Linked DNA regions of Macaca fascicularis. The protein of the gene in region 2 interacts with the protein of the main gene of each other region in a pairwise test. Links are inferred from orthologs where the notes say so. Each region holds a gene or a part of one and is shown on either strand. Other genes may lie near its edges.

Evidence for each region.
Region 1: the proteins of MAD1L1 (region 2) and LGALSL interact in binary tests that used the Homo sapiens proteins (3 or more experiments, as listed by UniProt). The two-hybrid records come from large-scale screens. The link is inferred for Macaca fascicularis from reciprocal best matches to the Homo sapiens genes MAD1L1 and LGALSL.

What each region holds. Positions count from the first base shown.
Region 1 is NC_088387.1:57,466,923-57,474,627, forward strand, and holds the start of LGALSL (galectin-related protein), read right to left. Parts: upstream 5,229-7,705; 5' UTR 4,935-5,228; coding exon of another isoform or gene 4,914-4,934; coding exon 4,878-4,913; coding exon of another isoform or gene 4,468-4,877; intron 4,114-4,467; coding exon 4,042-4,113; intron 3,862-4,041; coding exon 3,773-3,861; intron 3,115-3,772; coding exon 2,937-3,114; intron 694-2,936; coding exon 550-693; 3' UTR 1-549. Other genes in the region: uncharacterized protein, read left to right, coding at 622-668, 4,468-4,934. UniProt on the Homo sapiens protein: Does not bind lactose, and may not bind carbohydrates.
Region 2 is NC_088377.1:35,704,920-35,712,829, forward strand, and holds the start of MAD1L1 (mitotic spindle assembly checkpoint protein MAD1), read right to left. Parts: upstream 4,121-7,910; 5' UTR 4,047-4,120; intron 1,856-4,046; exon of another isoform or gene 1,853-1,855; 5' UTR 1,676-1,852; intron 1,284-1,675; exon of another isoform or gene 1,281-1,283; 5' UTR 1,271-1,280; coding exon 1,121-1,270; intron 1-1,120. Other genes in the region: MRM2 (rRNA methyltransferase 2, mitochondrial), read right to left, coding at 6,887-7,329. UniProt on the Homo sapiens protein: Component of the spindle-assembly checkpoint that prevents the onset of anaphase until all chromosomes are properly aligned at the metaphase plate.

The sequences.
Region 1 (7,705 bases), on a different chromosome or scaffold from region 2:
GCTTCAACAATCTGAATTAACATTATGCTGTGCAAAACAAAAACAAAAACAAAACAAAAAAAAGTCAAATCTTGAACAACCTACATTCTATGTAAATACCCTGACTAAAATATTGGTTGTGCTACACAATTCCACTTCAGCGCAGAAATGCATTGATTTCACTGTACCGTTGTTGTTGGCTTTTCAAGTGTCTTTAGCACTTCTGTTTCTAAGCATTGCCTTGCTTTGAAAAGATGAATAATTTGCTACCAAATCACAAATCATCACAAATCCATTTTAGTGTGGTCTGAATAAAATCCAGCATAAATGTATTATTTTATTCTGGGTATAATGGCTCGGTGTCTTTGTCCCAACAGCTTTCTTCTTAAGGGCAAACCACGGTTGAAGTTGTCATTTTGGGTTTAAACTGTACAAAAGAAGAGACAGTGAAGCTTGCCATTTGTTTTTGTTTTCTTTTTAAGTGTCCAGATCTTGCTAGGACACTTCTTCCAGACCAACAGTCAAGACAGTTGTGGCATGTGATCCTATTTGAAATAGAGGTGGTTTAAATCAGCCAAGCTTGGTGATCTGGAGGTCTCCGTTTATCTTTATGGTGTCAATTGCAGATAACGTTTGAATGCGATGGTAAAAATCAAAAAGTTGGTGTCCATCCACAAACACTCGGAAACGTGGGTGCTCACAAAGAATTTCCACCTGGAAGAAACAAAATAATAGTCCACAATTTCAATGAACCCTACTGGGGAAAACAAATAATACTTCATTTTAGAGAAAAAAAGGCAGTATCTTCAGTGGTTCACAAACATTAGAATGCATTGAAACCTGCAGAGGGCTTGTTAGAACACAGATTGTTGGGCTCTACCTCCAAAATTTCTGATTCAGTAGGTGTTAAGAATGTGTGTTTCTACCAAGTTCCAAGGTAATGCTGATATTGCTAGAATAGAGAACCCACTTTGAGAACCATTGCTCTACACTATTCAATATAATACCTTTTAAAGATTTAAAACTGCATTCCTTTAACATATCTCCCTTCTGCCTATACTCCAGAAAGTGATGTAAAGTAGCATAGACTTGTTTATATGGCACTTAATGCCTCCACTGTCATCCCCTGAACTATTCTATTCCACCTTCAGAAGGGCCCCTCACAAGGCAGAACTGGCATCCATTAGTAGAAGACCATAATAGTCTAGACACTCAAAATATGCTAAGCACTAAGGCAGAGAGAAGGTTACACATAGTAATTACCACTGGACAAAGAACATGTAATTAACAAGGTTTTGTTGAGTCAAACAGAAATACCGGTTCCATAAGGTAAAAGCTTTTTCCTCAAGTAATTTACCATAAAGTTTAATTACTGGTAGTGTGCTATGATGGGTTTATTAAAAGCATTGGCATTCACCATGTAAGGAGGCTCCATATGTGCTATTAGTCACATTTAATTCATATTACTAAAATTTTATCACCAAGAAAGGCCTATTTCACTTCAGTTTTGTTGTTGGGAGCATTATATTCCTCCTGGCAGTCAGAAGCTGTGGTTATTCACATTCATGAGCTATGCATTAAGGTTCATCACTGAGAAACTATCCTCACCAAGAGGAGCCCAAGGGGACATCACCATTCTAGAGAAGGGGGTGAGGAGAGAGAATGGGTCAAGGGTGCTTTCCAGAGACTATAACTAGAAGGGCAACTATCTCAATGCTACCACTGATGCAAAAATCATGGATTCTTATTTTCCCCTCAGAATGTAAGAAGGGAAGTGAAATAATTACTTCTTCATGAGGCACTTGAAAATTTCTAGATGAAGGGTAACCAGTTAAGTGTAGTTCTGTTTTATTGGGCTCATATGTAACATGGAGCTTTTAACTGAGTTGTCATTATTGTGATGTAATGTGAAAGTGTAATGACAATTCATCACTAGGTCTGACCCCTTTTCAACACCATTACTACTTGCATTTCCTTTTTTTTTTTTTTTTTTGACAGAACCTTGCTCTGTCACCCAGGTTGGAGTGCAGTGATACAACCATAGCTCACTGTAGCCTTGAATGTCTGGGCTCAAGCGATCCTCCCGTCTCAGCCTCCCAAATAGCTAGGACTACAGGTGTGTGACACTACACCAGGCTAATCTTTTTTTTTTTTTAAAGAGGCAGGGTTTTTGCTATGTTTCCTAGGCTGGTTTTGAACTCCTTTGCTCAAGCAATCCTCTTGCCTCAGCCTCCCAAAGTGGTGGGATTACAGGCACAAGCCAATGTGCCACTACTTGCATCTCTTATTTGGCATTGCCTTTCATAGAGGAAGGTGCTGCTAATGTTGCTTGACTGAATGAAAAGTTTGGATTGTGCTTCCTGCCCAAAAGATAGTGGGGAGCAAATCTTTATTCATCCAGTCCCAAGGGAAGGAATTTGTCAGCCAGTCTGTAACCGTGAAATAGACTGCGGTTAATTAATCCAGAGCGGGAAACAAGGACACAAACATGGCCTCATTAGCAAAGGGAACAAGAGAAAATGAAATGATCATCATCATATTCTTTAAAATGTCATACAAATAAGGCTGAGAGCTAATAAGTAGCTCTCAACCTTATTAATATTTATTAATATTTAATAAGTGGGTACTTATTAGTATTGATTAATCAATCAGATATTTGGGGGTAGGTATCTACTATATGTTGGGTACTACATAGAAAAGTTACTTATTCTTAACAATTTGGTCACGTAAATATGGGTCTATTTAAATGTGTGAGCTGAATAGAACTAACAGTTACTATGGCAAGTGTTAATTTACATCAGCAAACAGAGCTCTTTTGATCTTTTTTTCACCATTGGGTGACAAATTTCCTGGACATGCAAAAATTCTGGCCGCTTCAAGTGTTCTTGGCACACACTAGGTAAGTCGAACATTATCACCCTGCCAGTGGCTGGAGCCGAGGCACTCGAGGTACTCACCCTGAATGGCTGGTCTGGAATGAATGGGAAGTAAGGGATTGCTGACTGTTCTTCACCCCTCTCCCCAGATATACAAGAATTTCTGAGTAGCTGCCGATCTGTGAACACAGCTTTGAGTTCAATTGCCACATCGGCAGGAGGGTCTTCAGAGTCCCCACAGGTCAAGCTGATTGCAAAGCTGAAAAGAAAATCATCTCATTGATTCAGGGTTGGATATAAAAACATTTCAAAATGACCCAGGTGCTTATATTTCCTGTTCCTCCTCTGGGTTTGCCCGTTTTTAAGAGGCCACTACTCTTCAAGAGAGGTTAGATTATGGAGAAGTAAGTCAAACCAGTTTATTTTGTTACCTAAAGCAAGCTCTGGCGAAAACTTTGGTGGAGGTGAAAATGACTAAAATTAGCGATTTCAAATACCCCAAAGCGACCACACATCTATGTCTTAATCCACTTCGGAATTCTCAAAAACAGCCACAGAAATTGACCACGGGAAATAATGTTAAGTTGGGTTCTTATTCATCTTGATAGTTCTTGCTTCTGGCACCATGTTTCAAAACCATAAATAAAAAAAAAAAAAAAAAAAAAAAAATCCTTTGGCCTCCCTAAGGGTCAAAGAGAAAATGTGGGCCTATATTTATAATCTCTGATATAAATAGCTGTCTGGAGAAATGATGGCTGGGATTCATACACATTCTTTTCATGGGAACATGGTACTTTCTTGGCACTGGCAACTAGCAACATTGTGCACAAGGAGAGGAAGAGGAGGAGTGCTAAACCACAACAGGAGTGGGCAGGGCTCAGCCACAGCCTGATAGTTCTGTAAAGACTCTGCCTTACCTCTCTGGGTTGAGGTCTACGATGCCCATCACTAACACCTTCTTGCCTGGTCTCATGCCACCTTTAATGTGCCCACAAAATGGAACTATCTGCAAAGGGTGGGAGAAGAAAAATGAGTTTCACAGCCTGTTAGGGAAGAGCCAAGACCTCAGATCCTGAAGGCCTGACCCATTGGAAAATGCAATAAACAAACGAATAAAATTTTAAAAAGCAATGAGAAAGGAGGAGGGTACAGGCAGAGACACAGAACACAGAGCAAAGCCATTTACCAGTCGTGGGAAGTACACGTCCGCTTGAACTGGAGAGCCCAAAGAGTTGTTTAAATGGCCATCATCTAGTTTCTAAAAATAGAAGCACACAGATTGGCTTTCCATGGGCTCTTTTTTGGGGGGCTGGAGGAAGAACCCACACAGATGTGGTGGAATCCAGCAGTCTTCCACACGCACACAGTGTCTGCCGATGATGCCTCTTCACTGTCTCTTAGATAATCTCATAACCCCCGAAAAAAACCCATCCTTTCCACCCGGTGGTTAAGCTTCTGAAGATCCGCAGACCCTTCAGATCCAGATCAAAATCAAGGTCGAGGTCCACCGAGGAGCCAGAGCCCCACGCCGGAGGAGGGCAGGCCCCTCTTCAACCGCAAACGCTTCTGGAAGCGCGGTGGGCCAGGCCTGTCCTCCGGGACGTGGCTGAAGTGGAGCGGCCGTGCTCAACTTCTCTCGGGAGCCCCGGGCGCCGACCCATTTCCAAGGGGGAATTCCCCGGGACGTCGGGGGCGGTGGCAGGGCGCGCGCCCCGGACACACTCACCCACGCGCACACCTGGCTGGCGGTTGCACGGCACAGATCGGGCTGTCGGGCGCCCCCACCCCGCCATCCTCCCCAAACTCCCTCCCCAGCCCAGAGCCCCGCAGCCCGGGAGCCTCTCCAGCCCCCAACACCGGCCGCGCGCAGCCGGCGGCTGCTAACAGGTACCCGGCGCCTTCCCACGCGGGGGGCGCCGGCCAGGCCTGCGGCTTCTCAGCACCCCAGCACTGCTGGAGCAGGCGGCAGCGGAGTGCGGGGCGGCGGGGAGGGGCGCCTCGCGCGCGCCCTGCCACACTCACCACCACGGCATCGCTGTCGGCCACCGATCCCGCCATCTTCTTGCCCGGCGCGGCGGGGTACGTGGGACGCAGCGCGCGGGCGGGGATCCCGGGGCTGTCCTGCGCGGGGCGGGGGCGGGGGCGCGGGTCCGAGCTGGCGCGGGCGCGCGCACACACGAGGGGGCGCGCGCGCGCACGCCCGGGGCCCGGCGCCGACCTGGCAGGCAGGGCCTGGGAGGAGGGGAGGGGAGGGAGGCAGCGCGGGACGCGAGGGCCAAGGTGCTCGCCGCGGCCCGGAACGGCCCCGGACCTGGACCGACGCTGCTGCTTGCTACCGCTGCCGCTGCCCGACCAAGAAAGGTGGCAAGGGCCGTGCCGCGTCGGCTCTGGGCAGCATTTAAAGGCCTCCGGGGCCCGGCTTGGGAACCGGGAACAGGGCGGGGACCCGGCGGGGCTGCCGCGGCTTGCTCAGCGGGCCCTGCCCCTCGGCCATTGGACGGTGGCGGAGGCCGGGGCGGGAGGGACGGGCCTGTCCCGGTCCGGGAGGGCGGGGACCCTGTCGGCGCACACCGGCCAGAGGGTGGGCAGGGCCGGGGCTGGAGAAGTAAGGGCCCGAGCAGGTCAGGTGACAGGTGCTCGTGCCACCGGCGCCACTCCCTCCAGCCTCCTTCCTCCTCCTGCCACGTCCTGGGGGCTGGTGGGGCGGTGGGAGGCGAGGTCGAGGGAAGACTGGGTGCTGGGGGTGGTATTCCAGAGTGGGAGACTCGGCAGGATTTCTTTCAGAGAATTCCAACAAAATCGGGGGAAGGATTCATTCTGCTCTCTAGGGCAGAAAGAGAATGGAAGGTCTGAAGGCTTGCAGAAATAAATGTGTGACCTGAAAGAACGAAGCAGAGAGGACTCAAGGTAGGGACCTTTCTATCCCAGGAGGCTAGAAACAGAAAGGTCTCTCTTCCCTGTGGAAGGACAGGCAGGTCTGGGCTTCCCTGGACTCTCTCGGACAGGAGTCTAAGCCTTACCAAATCAAACTGGGCACAGTCACTGTCCTCAGGGAGCCTCCATTGAGCCCTGTTTTTAACAAGTCACTTGCCCAGTCTAGGGTAGTAAGCTTCTCACTGAAAATCTCCTCATACCCTTCATGGAGTACTTCCCAGGGGATACACACCTCTTTTATTCAAGCCAGAAATTCCTTTATGGCATTTCCACACTAGGATGATTATGTAACTTCTCAGATAAAGCTGTATCAACATATCCTCTATTAGGTGACATCCTTGGCTGAAACATTCCGTTGCATGAATCACCGGGGCGTTCTACACTAATAAGCAGGGAGCATGTGTGACCTACTGCAGTCCCAGAGGGCCCCTCAGAGGCTCCTTTTTTTTTTAAATTGAGACGGAGTCTCCCTCTGTCGCCCAGGCTGGGGTGCAGTGGCGCGATCTCAGCTCACCTTCGCCATCTCAGCTTACCTTCGCCGCCGGGCTTCTTTCTAGTCACTGCAATTGGCTGTGTGGCCTAGAACATCTCTGCGGCTTTTGTGTCTTAGTTTTCCCTTTATGGACCAGAGCTAATCATGGTAATCTCAGGTGAGCAGGGAGAATTACCTACACACGCCTGTAAGCCTCAGTCATATCCTCTGGAAGTGGTTCTCGAACTAGAGGCTGAAGCGCAGCACGCTTGTGGCTGCAGCACACTTTGTTTACCAGTCTTAGCTCAAAATCACACTTTATTATATTTTAAAATATTAGGCACTTATAGGAAATTATTGACATTTGAAAGCACACTTTAGTATGTATCAATTTCTGAGAGTCTGGTATAGAGAAGAAGCATTAAAGTGCAGCAGTTCTTTGTCATTAACTGAGTGACACAATAAGGGTGATACAATATGTGATGGAGTTAAAGAGTCGGTGTCCTGGGTTCAAATTCTGGCTCTACTATTCTCTAGTTATGTGATCTTGGAAAAATTACTAAACTTCTTTGTGCCTTAGTTTCTTCATCTGTTATACTCAGAGATGATGGTGATGATAATAATGCCTATCTCAGGTTATTGGGAGGATTAAGTAAATGCTTTCCTTAAAACAGTATTGGGCACATAGTGAGCACTTATTATACAAAAATACCGAGTGCTTGCCATATACCAGGCACTGGGGATCCGGCAGGTGACTTTTTTTTGCTGAGCTTACATTCTAGTGGGCAAAGGAAGTCAGTAAACAAAATATGTTGGGTGATAAAAGCGTTAGGAAAAAATAATAAGGTGAGGTGTGGTGGCTCATGCCTATAATCCCAGCAATATGGGAGGCTGAGGCAAGAGGATCACTTGAGGCCAAGAGTTTGAGACCAGCCTGGGCAACACAGAGAGACTCTGTCTTTACAAAAATAAAAAAAATAGCTGGGTGTGGTGTTGTGCGCCTGTAGTCCCAACTACTTGGGAGGCTGAGGTGGGAGGATCGCTTGAAGCCAGAAGGTCAAGGCTTCAGTGAGCCGTGATTTCACCACTGTACTGCAGCGTGGGTGACAGAGTGAGAACCTGTCTCAATAATAATAAAAATAACTTAAAAGCCAGTAGAGAGAGAGACAGGAGATGGGGTGATGCTATTTATACAGGATGGTCAGGGAAGCCACCTGTGGTAAAGTGACATTTGAGAAGACCCCTGAAGGAGAGGGGTGAGTCATGTGGACATCTGGAGGAAGAGTTTGCTGGCAGAGGGAACTGCAAGGGAAAAGTCTCCAAGTACTGGGGCTGGGGGCAGTGACTGAGGAGATATGTAGCTAGAAATGGATAGCCCTTCTACACTGTGGTTGAGGATTGGCTTTTACATGGGGAAATAGGAAGACATTAAAAGTTTCTGAGC
Region 2 (7,910 bases):
CCGAGCAGCTGGGACTACAGGTGCCACGCCCAGTTAATTTTTTGTATTTTTAGTAGAGACAGGGTTTCACCATGTTAGCCAGGATGGTCTCGATCTCCTGACCTCGTGATCCGCCCATCTCGGCCTCCCAAACTGCTGGGATTACAGGCGTGAGCCACCACATCCAGCCACAAGCTAGCATTCTAATAAACACATATTAATTCAATTATGCAACAAAACAAATGCACACACACACAGCTTTACCAAATGCAGCAGGGCCTCATCTGGGCTCTGAGAGCACAGGAAGCCAGAGCCTCCTCTAATGGGCACAGGACTACAGAATGGCTCTGGGGCCTGCAGCAGGGACTGGGAAAGAGGGTCCAGGCAGAGGGGTCTAGAGGAGCCTGTGCAGCCACAGGGCCCAGGCAAGGCTGGAGACACTACTTGCCAGCACTCCCCAGCACTCCACTCCCCACCACTCGGGGGCCCCGTTATCCCAGCCCCACGTGGGGCTGGGCCCATCACTCTTTGGATCCTGAAGTCCTTCAGGAGACCTGAGTCCTCTGCAGTTGTGTCTACAGTGAGCAATCCCCCAAGAACTAGTAACGAAACCAAATACAACTATTTTATAGAAGAAATCCGTAAAAATCACCCCAAAATCTGAAAATGGCCCTCTACAGCCTGAGACCACAAAACATCCCGTCCTTCTGCTCACGGCTGTGGCTTTGTCTCTGGGCTGCCGGGCACTCCCGCACTGTGTTTCCGACACAGCCTGCCCGACGGTCCTGCTGCTCACACTCCCAGGCAGTTTGGGTTCTGTCCTCAATTAGATGAACGAACTGGCTTTCCGATCCTGTCACCAGGGTCTGTGGGTGCACTTGTGTGAATGCAATGCTGAGCGCCAGGCCCACTCAGGGTGCTAACAAGGCAGGCCTTCGAGCCAGGATGGCTCAGGGCCCCAACTAGCCTCCAGCTACTGCCCCAAAACGAGAAGTGGCCACAGTGAGGCCTGGAAGATGAGCAGCTGGTCTCTAGGCTGAGCTAATACTGACCCACCTCAACTACAGAACACTTGAACAGGCCCTGCCTGGGCCCAGGGGTCTCCCCAGAGAAGACTCCCACCCAGGCACATGCCACTCACCTGCATGCTCTGCTGGTACTGCATCTGCAGAGAACCTGGGGCCGAGGTGGAAATATCCAGTCCAGATCCTCCCTCCACCCGCTGAGAGATGAAGTTGTTCAAAGATCTCAGGGTGGATAAAACCGTGGTGTTTTCCCCCAGGTCTTCCATGGTTGCTTTCCTTCTGGGAACAGACAAAGGACTGGTCAGGGCCAGCCTTTCTACGTGCCATCAGCTGTGCAGTCAGCGGGGCCTCTGGACATCCCCACTCCCCTAACGCTCATTGGAGCCCATAATACACCAGTGTCTGTAACCACATTCTTCAAAGGCAACTGGGAGCCATGCTGCCAATTTACCAGACAAAAAATGGAAGCAAGAAAGCATGCCACCAAATCCCCGCCACTGAGCCACCGACTGAGTCTCAGCTGCACACAGACAGCTGGCGCCCAAGAGGCGGAGCTCAGCACTCAGGTGGCACGTCCTCCCACAGCACTGTAAGAGGGTTCTCCAGAGAGACAGAGCCAACAGGACAGAGACAGACACACGAGAGGGGCATTATTAGGGAAACGGACTCACACGATTAGGGAGACTGTCCCACAACAGGCCGTCTGTAAGCTGGAGCCCTAGAAGCCTGGCAGTGTGACACAGTCCAAGTCTGAAGGCCTCAGAGCCAGGGGGGCCGATGGTGTAATTCTCAGTTCGAGGAACTGCTGGAACGAGTCCTGGAGACCAAAGGCCGGTGAGCTTGGAGTGCTGCTGTTGAGGAGAGGAGAAGAAGGGTGTATCCCAGCTCCCGCAGGCAGATGGACACATTCGTCTTTTCTGTTTTTGTCCTCTCCAGGCCCCAGGCTCTTGGATGGTGCCCCCAACACTGGGGGGTGGATCTTCAGCACCTGGTCCACTCAGACTCCCAAGCTCATCACCTCTGGAAACACCCTCACAGGCACACCCAGAAACAAAAATGATGCTTTCCCAGGTTTCTAGAAATTCCTGAATCCAGTCAGCTGATGCCTGAAACTAACTACCAGGAGCACTCACAAAAAAGTCTGGCCTCCTGCCCAGGTGGGATGGCTCACGCCTGTAATCCCAGCACTTTGGGAGGTGGAGGCAGGCAGATCACTTGAGGTCAGGAGTTCAAGACCAGATTGGCCAACATGGCAAAATCCCATCTCTAATAAAATACAAACACTAGCCGGGTGTGGTGGTGCGCGCCTGTAATCCCAGCTATTCAGGAGGCTGTGGCACAAGAAACGCTTGAACCTGGGAGGTGGAAGTTGCAGTGAGCTGAGACCGCACTACTGCACTCCAGATTGGGTAACAGAGTAAGACTGTGCCTCAAAATAAATAAATATTAATTAATTAATTAAGGCCAGGCACTGTGGCTCATGCCTGTAATCCCAGCACTTTGCAAGGCCAAGACGGGCAGATGACCTGAGGTCAGGAGTTCGAGACCAGCCTGGCCAACATGGTGAAACCCTGTCTCTATTAAAGCCGGATATGGTATGCACCTGTAATCCCAGCTACTCCGGAGGCTGGGACAGGAGAATTGCTTGAACCTAGGAGGCAGAGGTTGCATGCAGTGAGCTGAGATCGCACCACTGCACTCCAGCCTGGACAACAGAGCAAGACACCGTTTCAAAAAATAATAATAATTAATTTTTTAAAAAGTCTGGCCTCTGGGAATCAGAAATGAGGCATGCAACAGTGACAGTAAAGATGATCATCACAGCTGTGCTAATTTTCATTGTTTATTTCTAGTGACATTAATAAGTACTACTACTATTTTCAACTAGGTACTGGAAAGAAAGGTATCTGACATTTCCGAGCACGGAGACTTCTTGAACTTCAGCTTCCTCATCTGTCAACTCATGACAGTGAAATCTACTTGCAAAGTTGTGGGGAATGGGGTCAATATCCCTCAAGTCTTCCACTGCTAGATAATGGGAATGCAGCCGCAGGTTGACCAGCACTACATTTGTAAGCTCAATCTTAACAGGGTGGTGAATCAGGTCTTTTTACACAGATTCTAGAGATGATGAAACTGAAGCTTCAAAAAGTTACAGAACGGAGATTGGGAACTTGGGTCTGTCTGGCGTTGGAAGGCTGAAGACAAGCAGCAGCAAAGAACTTTGCACCCCTAACACCTGCGCTGACGATGGTCTCACGGCAGGCCGGCCCACCAGCCCTAACAAGGGGAACAGCCAAGCGCGTTTAACAACCAAAGGTAGAACTCCTGCAGCTGCACAGTTTCTGAGTTTCCATTGAACAAGAACCTCGGCCTGCTGCAAGCAGAGCCCTGAGCTCCCCAGGCTGCGAGCCCCGCAGAGGCAGGCCCGCCTGCAGGGAGGCTCCACAGCCCAATTCCTCCATTGCCCAGAAGAGACCAGGGCGACCCCTGCCATCCCCGAGGGGAAACCGGGCCCACACGCCCCCTTCCTGAGAGCGGGCCCGCGCGAGCCACGAGGATGCCAAGAGCCCCTGCAGCCCCGACTTCTCCACCAGGCGCCAGCTCAGGCCCCTTCCTCGGCGCGCCGGCACCCTAGCCCGGAGACCCCCACGGCGGGCACGGGGACCCCCACGGGGGGCACCCGGACCCCGGGGCTGGGGCCACGAGCACGCGCCCCTCGGCCGCCCGCCCTGGCACAAGGGACGGCTGCGGAAACCCAGGCGAGGGGCCCGCTGTACCCAGCACAGCCCGAAGTGGGGCGTGGGGACAGCGGAGTGGGGACAGGGGAGTGGGAAGAGGAGGAGAGAGGAGGGGAGAGCACAGAGAGGGGAGCGCGCCCATGGGAGGCGGGGCGGGCGCGCGGTCCTGAGGCACGGGGTCCAGGGTCCTTGTGCCCCACCCTGGCGGGCACACCCGGTCCGGGCCCTCGGCCCCGCCCTTGCCACCCCCGGGGCCCCAGGACCCCAGAACCCCGCCGCCCGCGAAGGCCGGGCCGCTCACCTCAGTCTCCCGCAGCCCACTTGCCGCCGCCGCTCGGATCTCCCTCCGCTCCGCCCGCGCCCACTTATCGCGACACTTGCGCCTGCGCTCTCGCGAGACCTGGGTGGGAACCGGGCCGTAAAGAACCGAGTCTTCGCACCAGCTGGTCCTGGGGCCTCCGTGCCCGCACCCAGAGCCGCCACCCCCGGGAGACTACACACGGAAAGGACTCGGAACCGAAGGCCGGGCCAAGGCGCAGTCGGGGTCCCCGACCCCGCGCAGGACGCGCTTCCACTAAGGCTTTCGCCTCGCGCCGTAATGTGTGGAATAGCCGCGCCCATAGCAGCCTCCTGCAACAAACTTGCATTGTTGACTCTTCCCAAAATTTTGCTACTCAGTATCAGCTTGAATCAATCCGTTATTTTGCTTTTATCTGGGCCCACTAGAAATGCAATTTATGCTACTAGGCTACCTCCTAATGCTCTGCAAGCCAAGGCACAAAATCCAACGGGGTGAGGTCAGGCCCCACTATTATTACGGTAACCTTCGTCTATCCTTCAATTTGGAGCCTTCCTGAGAAGAGTGTGCCTCCTCTCTTCTTCCCACCTCTGCCCAGTCCCTGGCTTCCCTCTAAGAAGATGCTGTTCCTAAGGGTCTACATTGAATTTTTCTTCTTCCAGAGAAAAAGACTTCCAAGTTGTGTGCCCCGGAAATGAAAGGGAATGAGAACGAGGTGGAGTAGGGCAAGAGAGTCCCTGGACTTAACTACCTGACTGCAACCAGAAATAAAATGAAAGGCCAAAACATCTGGCGGCCGGGCGCCGTGCCTCACGCCTGTAATCCCAGCACTTTGGCAGGCCGAGGCGGGTGGATCACGAGGTCAGGAGATCAAGACCTTGACTAACACGGTGAAACCCCGTCTCTACTAAAAATACAAAAAAAAAAAAATTAGCCGGGCTTGGTGGTGGGTGCCTGTAGTCCCATGTACTCAGGAGACTGAGGCAGAATGGCGTGAACCCCGGGAGGTGGAGCTTACAGTGAGCCGTTTCAAGGCACTCCAGCCTGGGCGACAGAGCGAGACTCCGTTTCAAAAAAAAAACAAGTCAAAACATCTGACCTGCAGTTTCCTTTGGGGAGCTGGACCAAGCCCCAGATCCCTGATGGCGATTCCTGGGTTTCCAGACTTACCGCACTGGTGCTTGGAATTGAATCATAGTTACAGTCAACACACTTCTTGAGGGATGAGTACACCTCCAGGAAATGGCTTTGAGGAAGCCAGTTTTAAAAAAACAAAACTTAAAAGCATGAAAGTCCCTTACAATAATGCAACTTCTATTTTATTAAATACAAAGCTGCGGCCGGGCGCGGTGGCTCACGCCTGTAATCCCAGCACTTTGGGAGGCCGAGACGGGCGGATCACGAGGTCAGGAGATCGAGACCATCCTGGCTGACACTGTGAAACCCCGTCTCTACTAAAAACTACAAAAAACTAGCCGGGCGAGGTGGCAGGCGCCTGTAGTCCCAGCTACTCGGGAGGCTGAGGCAGGAGAATGGCGTGAACCCGGGAGGCGGAGCTTGCAGTGAGCTGAGATCCGGCCACTGCACTCCAGCCTGGGTGGCAGAGCGAGACTCCGTCTCTAAATAAATAAATAAATAAATAAATAAATAAATAAATAAATATAAAGCTGCATCGAGTTCCTAGAAGAGTAAAAGAAAATAAACACACCACATCACTGCTTGCTTTGGCAATTACCTTTATGTTCTTGGGAGTCCAGACACAGATACAAATTTCCAGCGAAAACCAAAGCACACCCAGTGCATGAGTAAATTCAGACCATACGTCTTCCCTAATCGCTCTGGGAACTTCTGCTGCTTGAAGAATGCATGAATCTCTAGATTACTCACCAGAAAGAAAGAATTTAATCCCCAGATGGAAATTTCAGATTTTTCTTTTGGTTTGGTTTTTTGTTTTTTCATTTTTGTAGAGACAGTGGGTGTTGCTATGTTGCCCAGGTTGGTCTTGAACTTCTGACTTCAAGAATCCCCCAGCCTCAGCCTTCTGGGATTATAGGTGTGAGTGGCCTCACCCAGCCCCCAGATTTTCTACTTTAAATAGCCACACTAAGAACTGGAAACCTGTGCATGGTGCTCTGGGAGGAGCAGTGGAAAGCCTGTTTCTGTGTGACAGTTTAACAGTCTGTAAGATGAAGTCCCGTCAAGGCACACATGGGCACACCCATCCCTGCCTCAGCGGATTCCTTCTGATTCTTCCCACAGTCTGTCTCTCTTCATCCTTCCATCCTCACCTCTTTCTCTTGATAACTTTCTCCTCACAAATCAATATAGAGGACTTTTTCATTTTCCATGGCCCCTGAACTTAGTTTTGTCATCTCTTTTTGGTTAAAAAGAGAGAGAGAAAGAAAGAGACTCCCAGCCGGGCGCGCTGGCTCACGCCTGTAATCCCAGCACTTTGGGAGGCCGAGATGGGCGGATCACGAGGTCAGGAGATCGAGACCATCCTGACTAACACGGTGAAACCCCAAATACTAAAAATACAAAAATTAGCCGGGCGCGGTGGCAGGCGCCTGTAGTCCCAGCCACACGGGAGGCTGAGGCAGGAGAATGGCGTGAACCTGGGAGGCGGAGCTTGCAGTGAGTGGAGATCGCGCCACTGCACTCCAGCCTGGGAGACAGAGCGAGACTCCGTTTCAAAAAAAAAAAAAAGAAAGAGACTCCCCACTTGTCCTGTTCCATCTCCAAAATCAGCTCAGATCTCCCAGGAACTCTTCCGGAAGGAGCTCAGGCTACGTTTCGAGCTTAAAAGAAGCTAATGACCATTATGAAAATGGCACAAGAAATCCTCACTGCTTCACAGCGCCCTTCCTTCCCTGGTACTGTGTGGCCAAGAAGTACACTTCTGATGACTCTTTTCTGCTGGCTTCAGGTTTGATGATCCTTACATTCTGGAATTCCTCTGTCAGTCTCCTCTGTAACCGATGGCTTTGACTTCCAGCCCAGGTTTTACAAAGGAATGTTCCCCGAGGTTGCAGGATGTCTGGGGTCATGCTGAGAAGGGTCAGGCACAGGCTGATGAGCCTGTCATGATCGAGGTCCCGGAACCCTGTGGCATTGGGCGCCATGTCGCTCAGAATCACATCTGCTCTCCCACCAGGAAGCACCTCGAGGATTCTCTGTGAGGTTCTCGGGTCAGTCACATCAGCAGGGCACAGAAAAGTTGCTCCTTCCAGGGGGAATATGTGAAGAAGATCTACCCCAAGCACGAAGCCAACAGGAGAGCTGGGATCTATGGAAGAAATGGTGAATGTGTTATTTATTTACACCCTGAATGTTTTCACAAAAATATAGTACATGCAACAAAATGATGAAATAAAAGTAAAATGTCAAGACCAATGCAAAGAGCTAATGTGCAAATAGGTAAACACAGGCCTTTTCTATCTATACATCCTATAAAGACACGTGGTGGGGGAAGTCGTGGGCCTTAACATCTGAGAAGCTGAGGCCCATACAGGAAGTAACTGTCCTAGAGTCATCCTCAGCCATGGGCAGACCTGTGCCAAGCGCCAGGACTTCTGATTCCAAATCTGGTATCATTTCACTACCCAAGGCTCACTCTCTGTGAAAGGGTTCTTATCTCTGAGTGCTCTTTTGATAAACTAAAATAGAAAATAGGCCGGTCGCAGTGGCTCACAACTATAATCCCAGCACTCTGGGAGGCTGACACAGATGGATCACCTGAGGTCAGGAGTTCGAGACCAGCCTGGCCAACATGGGGAAATGCTGTCTCCACTAAAACTACAAAACTCAGGCAGGTGTGGTGGCACATGCCTGTAATCCCAGCTAGTCGGGAGGCTGAGACAGGAGAAT